Coturnix japonica: one gene and its partner. The protein of the gene in region 1 purifies or fractionates together with the protein of each later gene. This does not show direct contact. Links are inferred from orthologs where the notes say so. Each region holds a gene or a part of one and is shown on either strand. Other genes may lie near its edges.

Region 1 (4,288 bases):
GTTGAAAGAGTAAAGGTGGGGGAAAGCGTTACAGGAGATAGGGAACTGAAATTACTGTGGGAGGGGAAAACATAGGGGACAGAGTACATGATGGTTGGACGCTGTACTTATTTCTGCAGCTTACAGTATAACTAGTTTTATTACCAGGGCCTAATTTGGTGTCTGATGTTAATAATTAATATAACTGGGTCTTCCCCTGCTCCCCAGCATTTCTAATGAGTAGCATTTGCTTTTTAGCTTTATAGTTAGGCCTCATTGCCTCAGGAATCTTCTCCCTGTTGTTGCCTTCCGTGATCCCAGAACGGCCCTTTCCATTGAGGGATGGCGTGGAGATCCCACCCCAGTCCCCAGCAGCTTTTGCTTAGAAATGCTAATAGGATCAGCGTTGGAAACGAGATTAAAAGACCGAACTTGAACATTTTGTTTCAACTAAATGGATTAACTCGTGGGGTTTGGTGCAGCCAAGCATCCACGTTCCCCCTCAGCAGCAAAACCATGAAGTCGTTGTTCAGAAATGCTTCTTCCTTCCCCTTAAAGCTACTTAGTTTTCACAATGCTGATAAGCCCTCGGCCTAAATCATTAACATTCTTCGAAGGTTCTTTTTTTTTCCCCTCTCTCATCCTGTGAGGAGGATAAAGGGGTTTGTGAGGGTTATGGCTAAATCTGGTTGTTGGCTCAGCTGGCCTTGCTCTACTAGTCGTTACTTTGTTGTTGAATTAACACATAGACAAGAGTGGCGGTCCCGCACCCCACTGCTGGAAGGGCCACGAGCTGAGCTGGTTGGGCCGGTTGCGAAGTAGAGCTTGTCTCCCAGGGAGTGCCCTGTGTAGGGTGAGCACAAGAAAAAACACATTATTTAAAGCCTTGCTTTTTCTATCCTAGACACAGCCGCGTCCCAAAACGAAAACAGAGAGCTCCACACTGCAATTTACATTGGGGTTAAAACAAGCCCTCTGGGCTCGAGGAAAGAAAATAATCCCTGCGCTGGAGAATGCGGGCATCGATCCCGCTACCTCTCGCATGCTAAGCGAGCGCTCTACCATTTGAGCTAATTCCCCACTGCGCAGCCTCCGCTCTCCGCGCCTCCCCACACGGCCTCCCCCGCCCCCCTTGTTGTCAGGCAGTTTGGCGCCGTGCTTGTGCACAGCGGCCAATGCGGACAGCGCCCCTCCCGCCATGCGCCGCGGCTCCGGATTGGACAGAGAGAGTTTATTATTTTTTAAGAGGCTTCCGCTCTTCCGATTGGACGATGGAAACGCCCGTCACGGTGACGTGCCCTGTTGCTAAGTGGGGAAGGTGGGATGAGAGGTGCGCCCTTCTCGTGCGCCGATTGGCTAGAAAGAAATCGACGGCCCGCCCCCATCCCCGCTTAAGCCTGTAGGAGCATTCTGACTGGGTGACTGACAGCGAGGATACTGCCAATGAGAGGCCGAGCCGCACACGCCACCCAATAGGAAAGGGGCGGGGCGGTGCCGGGGCGCTATGATTGGCAGGCAGGGCGGAGGGAGAGGAGGGCTCGCAGGCGCTGATATGTCCGCCATCTTGGAGCGTAGGTGATGGTGGCGAGCGGTGGCTTTCCCGCCTGAGCGGAGGCAGCGCGGGGCCTGTGGCGGGGTGACGCTGTGTCCGAGGTACGTTGTGTGCAGCGGCTCCTCGGCCTTCCTCCGCCACAGCTCCGGGGGGCGCAGGCCGCGCTCGGGGCCTTCCCGCGGCGGCGTGGGCCTGGCGCCTGCCCCCTCCGCGCGGGGGCTCCGCGGGGTCGGAGCCCGGCGGGACCGCGTGGGCCGGCCCGTATCGGCCCCGAGCCCGGGCCGTGCCGGGCTGCGGGTATGGGGGGCAGCCGGGCTGGGCGCGGCGGGGAGGGCCCAGGGCCGCCGCCTCGGGCCCTTCGGTGGGGCTCAGAACTGCTGGGCGCCCGCGGAGGGGCGGTGCTGGTTCGGAGCAGCGAGCGCCGCCGGCTGGGGCGGAGCGGAGGGCCCTGAGATACGGTGCGGTACGGTGCGGTGCTCCCGGGGCAGGCCGAGTGCTGCTCCGTGCCGCCAGCAGTCACTTGTGTGGGTACCGCTTACAGAACTTCTGTGCCTCTGTGATAAGCCTGGATCACATCACTGATGGCTAACTTTGTTTTTACTTCTTCAAAATCACTGTATTCCTGCTGTTTTTAAAAAAATAATTATTTTTATTCATTATTATTATTATTACTTTTTGTTAGAACTTGCTGGGAGCGCGGCACTATTGATTTATCTGTTGCTAAATACACCTGGCAAAACCCAACTTTGAACCTGCTGCTTGTTTTTGTGTTGCTTTAGTAGTTAGAAACTTCTGTGAGCATAAGGGGGAGTTGGTTGGTGATGCAGCCTTGTGACATAAGCGCAGGTGGAGCTGAGGTCAGGGGATTCTCTCCACCAATGTGACATAAGGAGCAACACGCCTATTCGTGCTATCCCAAAGTTCTGGGCGGAGGAATATAGAAAGCTTAAGGGGGATGTAGAAGCTTTAGGAAACCTTCCTGGAGAGGGATTGCTTAAAAATGAAAGGTTGTATCGCGGCTTGTGATACTCTTTAGGTAGACAGTGTCATAAGTGGGATGGGTGTAAATGTACTCTTGGCTGTTTAGATGTGGTGGTGGCTTTTTTTTTTGTTTAAATGCTGAATATTAAGCAGGTTTAATCTATGATAGGATCGTACAAGTGAACTGCACAAATACCCGGCACCTTTCTTCTTATTATTAGTCGTGAACTGCTCAAACCCGCATTTCAGTGATCTTGCTGGAATACCCAAGTTTGATAAACTGCTACGTAGTTTCAGTACAGCACATATGAGCCCTATTGCTTAGCTCTGCGTTACTTCTTTGTGCTCCCGTGGGGAGGCACGGACTAACTGTAGCTCGCAGGAGCCTTTATTATGCAAATCTAAAAGAACAATACAGAATTATGTTTCCAATATACAGCTTCTAAACGAGACCCCATGCAGATGTGGTATACAGCCAGCATGTGAAGTTCTTAACAGCTTAATATTCCATTACGGAATGAAGGATATTAATTAGTTTGTGTGTGCATCTTTACAATATTGCTTGCAAACTGTTTGCTGTGCTGCTGTTGATTTGATAAAGTGAGGAAATCTGGCTGTTTCCTTCCGAGCGCTTATTTCTTGCACTTAACAGAGGTGATGCTATAGACAGGACACCAAGTGGAGTGAATCAGACGATGATCTCAGGGTGAGCTTCAATTAACTCGAATAGAAATTCTCCCATATTACAGCAGAAAATGATGTGTGTAACATTAACAGATGGTTAGAGAGTGAACTCTAGTGCCGTGGCTCAACAGCTTTGCTTCTGTGCTCAGCTTAAGCTTGGGGTGCACATACTGTGCTGTGCTGCACTACGCAGCTGGCTCTGAAGCAACCAGTGTGTGACTGAAACCTAAGGAGAGGGATGCTGTGCTGAGCTCACTGGTGGTGTTCCCTTTCTCTAAACTGATGATGTCCTCTTTTGTCCAAGTGCTTAAAAGGCTCTGTAGTATTTATTCAGCTCCGCAGGCAGTTAAGCAAATTGCTTTGTATCACTGTATTATTTCATCTACTGGCTTCAGTGTTGCAGCACTGGACGCAGTATCTTTGTAGCAGTGGACTTGTGTGTTCCTATGAGTTCATTCATGGCCTTTGGAAGCTGAGATGGAAATACAGCCTCTGTGGGCCTGTTTCCATAGTAAGATGGGATGTCACACCATGTAGTATCGAGTTCTGGTGGTCATGTAGCATTTTCATCTGTGACCCTCAAGGTTTCCATATATTGTGTCACATGGCAGGTTTAGGATGGTGTGTTTCTCAAAGCAGGCGATGCATCTGAATTGACACAAGTAGATACATTTGATAGCACTTCTCTAGAGCAAGACGAGAGCCGTGGTTTTTGGCAAAGCTTCCCATGGTAATAAAACACATAGGGATAGATGAAGTTGGAGGAGAAGAGCAAAGGACTCGAAGCCATTTAGTGATTGGGTTCGGTTCTGGTGTTTAGGGTGTTGGGGAAGTCTGGAAGATTAAGCAGAAAGTACCGAGAGAGTCTGAATGCTGAAAGCTTTGCATGTCACATGGAAGCGTTTTGGTGATGTGTCAATGTTCCGGCATCTGTTGTAGAAACCATATGCTACTAAGCAACTGAAGTAAAATGTTTTTCTACTCTTGGGTATTACATACAGCTCTATAGCTGGTTTGGGATGTTTTTTAGGAATCTGGATGGACTGAAGTTTCTTTTTGCTGTTTCCTCAGTATCATAGGATTGTTACAGTT
Region 2 (3,941 bases), on another chromosome or scaffold:
GTGAGATGCTTTGCCATTTATGTCTATGGTAGCTATGAAGCCCAGGTTCTAATCTATTACTTCTGCTTCTAATAATTTCTAAATAGAGGGGAAAAAAATTGGAGCCCAGAGTATAAACACCAGAGAATTGGAAACATGGATTGGTAAGCAGCATGCTTTGGTTTTTTGTTCCTTGTTTGTGGTGTGTATGTGCACCTCACCTATGACTATTACACTTCAGCTGCAAAGAAAGAAGCAGATTTAGTTTTTAAGTGACTGTGAAACTCTCGTGAGGTATTTAGTAACACTTCTAGTACTTTCCTGAAGAATAATAGCTGCATCTACTTCCACAACACCAGCACTTACAGCAAGAACTTAATTTATATCAACTTACTTCTGGACAGAGCTAGAGTCTGTGACCATGGAGGTAAGTCAAGATGTGCCTAGTATGACAGTAATGACAGGAAGTTGGAGGCAGCCAGCACCCAAGATACTATGTATTGTAAGGAACCTTACCATGCTTTTCAATATATAAGCAATCTTTATTTAGATACTTGAGCGCTCACATATAAGACAAAAAACTAGAGACAAAATGCACACATCATTCATTTTTAGGACACAAATGCATTCACCTCAGTTTCAGATTACACCACAGGTATGATACCCTTTAGCAGCCCAGTGAGTTCACAGGCAGGTATCTCTGGGATATTGCACTGTTCAGTAAGATAGAACCATCACTGTCTCTTGTTATTGGAACAATGTGCTATAACTATGACAGACCATACCATAAAGGCCTTGAACAGACCTTGAATACTTACATGAATAAATCTGGCCCACGTGTAGTTATTTTTCAAGTACATTAAGTATTCCACAACATCCAGCTAGAAGTCAAATAGATTACGTTGCAATTCAAGGTCAGTTCAAGATGATAACCAACCCAAAACTTGTGTTCTTAATTGCCACTGGATTCCAAGACCTGCTCTTCTTACTGTATTACAGTAGTCACAGTACAAATCTCCTCGTTAGTCCAATGAGATTACCCTTGTTAAGACTATATTCTGGATGGGGTGGCAACATCACTTCCTATTGTTGGGCAGCTTTGTAGAATTTGCTGTAATCCAGGGATGAACAAGTACATCCTTCAAGGGCAGCCGATGGAATGGGTTATGTTTCAGAAGCTTTGAAATTAAATCTCTTGCACCTTCTGTTACAAATACTGGATACCTGAATTCCACCTAAGAAAAGGAAACAAGACAAAAGATGATGCAATATTCTTTGGCACTAATCAAAACTGGAAAGCAATAGGGTTCTGCCCCCCAAGGTACAGAGAGCAAAGAAAACTGTCAGCCTTGTGGGCTATGTACCTTGTACCTAGTAATTTCATCACAAGGCTCTCGCTGCTTGCCAAAGTTCAGCTAGTGTGCTTTTTTGGGTGCTCCCAACATAAAACCTCATTGCTGGAACCTCTCAAGTTTACAGAACTCTAGAAATATATAATTTAAGTTTTTCCTGATACCTCAAGCAATTAATATTTTATATACCAGAAACATGAAAGTAGTGGAGGAGATTGTGAAGAATAAACTGCTATATGAAAAGGTTGGTGTTCAGATACAGGTAGAAACAGAACAGAACCAAGCAGCCAGGAAAGCTGTCTTTATTGTAATTCTACTGGAGTCACTTCAGGATAGCTTTAGGGATCTAGTTTTCTGTGTATCTCGTTATGGCTTTCCTTCCCTCAAAAGCAATATTAAACTTTCAAGAAGACAAGAAGTGAAACCAAAATTCACCTAGTCAAAGTTATGGTACATACCCTGGAAATAGCTCTGTAGGTTTCTTGATATGTTGCTGCTTCAAAAGGTGGCTTTCCTACAAGGAATTCATAGCACAGAACCCCCAGGCTCCAAATATCCACCTTTTCATCATGTGTTCTTCCCTCAATCATTTCAGGAGGCAAGTAGTCAAGTGTCCCACAGAGAGTTGATCTCCTGAAGAAAAGCACAGAGTACAGTGTATCATTTACCCTTTGTGGCTGTTTGTTAGTATTAGCATCTTGATTCCAGTGTTCTTATCTGTATCTCAGTGTAGTCTACCCCAGATAAACCCAGTATCTCTGGAATTCCATCAGTCATTCTAGGTTTGCTTTGAAGTATTCTGATCATGACAGGCAGTTTTGCCCTTCCTTTTTGCCTCTCCCACTGGCTCACAGGTCAGTGAGGCTTTCTTCATTGGGTGCAGTTCATACTAAGGAAACATTCCAGGTACAGCATGAACTGAAGTTCTGATCTTCATTTCAGGGACCACTGTAACCCTAAACCAGCGCACTAACACCCTTGTTTCAGGTTCAGTAAGTTGTCAGATACACAAATGGAGAAGCAGGATAACGTTCCCTCTATGCTACGCCAATCAAATATTAAGAGCTTGACAGCACTGGCCCAATTATTAAATGCTCCCCCCCAGTATTTCAGTAAGTTGACATTTACCTCCATTGCATAACTAAGTTTGGCAAGAAAGCTATAATTTTCATTACAGAAGAATTTCACTGTACAAGGTATATACTGTGATCTTACCTAGAGGATGGAGCATGCACAGACCATCCAAAGTCTGCAATTTTTAACTCTCCATTTGAGCCAAGCAGCAGGTTTTCTGGTTTGATGTCCCGGTGAATCACACTCTTGGAATGACAGTATGATAGGGCATCTGCTAGTTCTGTAATGTACTGCAAAGAAAACAGAACTGTCAAATATGAAGACACTGATGCTCAAGCTTTATTAGCTACAGTATAATATTCTCTAGTCATAATTAGCAGTTTGGAGCAGAAAAATTGTTCCTTGCACTCACAAGCAACAGATGTTGCTTGAAGTGACCACACAAATTACAGTGCTGGGCAATGCTGAACATTATTCATTGACACTGAAGTTGTTTGTCCTCCCAACATATTCCTAAACAGGCTGCAAGTGCATAAGCAAGCTAGCATCCAAAAAGTTAGTTTTATGCAACTGAAAATTGCTAGCTCTTCAGGAGAAAGTTGCATACTTCAGGTATGCTACACAGGAGCAAGCAACGTACAAGCAATTAGAACAACCTACAGTTGCAGTTCTTTGTTCATCGAATTTGGTGTGCTTCTGTAGCTCCTTGAAGACTTCTCCACGAGGTGCATACTCTAGAATAAGGTAGACTCTTGTAACATCATGGAAGTAGCCGTATAGTCTGAGAATGTTGGGATGCCTGCAAGAAATTGAAATGCCTTCCTGAACATATTTTCTGTGAAACAACTAATTCATTCAGCAAGTTGGGCTTATTTGACAGGAAACAGAATACCAGGAACAAGCTTAGACTGAGAAATTGCAGTCATCCACTTGTAAGAACTGGCCAGGTGCTTGGCTTCTATGTTTGGGTTCTCTTTTCTTTTTGGTCCATGCGGTGGTGGGGCAGGGGCAGAATGGCAAGAACCTTAACAAGCAGTTTCTTAACAAGCAGTTTCAAGGTGTCACGTATTACAGAATTGCTTTTCTTCAAGTGAGTTTACTTTCTTTTTTAACTGAGCATAAACTAAGAAGAGGGTAACAGTTATATTACCTGAGATGAGATTGTATTTCAACTTCTCTTCGTAGTTGATGTTCTACACCAGCATCCTCAAGCTGTGCTTTAAACAACACTTTCAGTGCAAGAATAAATTTACTCTGTTTTTCACGTGCCAAGTATACATTGCCAAATTTTCCTTTCCCCAGAGGACGACCAATTTCAAAATCATCAAGAGACCACTGTCTTCTGCAAAAGGAGACAGAAAGTTACAGAATAATGCTTGAGTGTATCAGCAATGTTCCACTTATATGCTGATAGACTTTAGTCTTTAATGGAACACCACCAAGAGGACAAAACATGCATTGAGACTTCTCAAAGGGAAAGCTTCTCTCTTGCTTCTAAAGCATATGCATAGAGATACAGCTACATACTGCAGCAAA

The links.
Region 2: the proteins of PPP6R3 (region 1) and AURKA purify together in Homo sapiens (affinity purification with mass spectrometry; 6 studies listed by BioGRID and IntAct, counting the BioPlex papers as one, with this or other methods). This does not show direct contact. The link is inferred for Coturnix japonica from reciprocal best matches to the Homo sapiens genes PPP6R3 and AURKA.

What each region holds. Positions count from the first base shown.
Region 1 is NC_029520.1:8,230,908-8,235,195, reverse strand, and holds the start of PPP6R3 (serine/threonine-protein phosphatase 6 regulatory subunit 3), read left to right. Parts: upstream 1-1,488; 5' UTR 1,489-1,632; intron 1,633-2,420; exon of another isoform or gene 2,421-2,538; intron 2,539-4,288.
Region 2 is NC_029535.1:10,858,926-10,862,866, reverse strand, and holds the end of AURKA (aurora kinase A), read right to left. Parts: intron 3,748-3,941; coding exon 3,556-3,747; intron 3,205-3,555; coding exon 3,066-3,204; intron 2,696-3,065; coding exon 2,547-2,695; intron 1,965-2,546; coding exon 1,790-1,964; intron 1,215-1,789; coding exon 1,056-1,214; 3' UTR 501-1,055; downstream 1-500. UniProt on the Homo sapiens protein: Mitotic serine/threonine kinase that contributes to the regulation of cell cycle progression.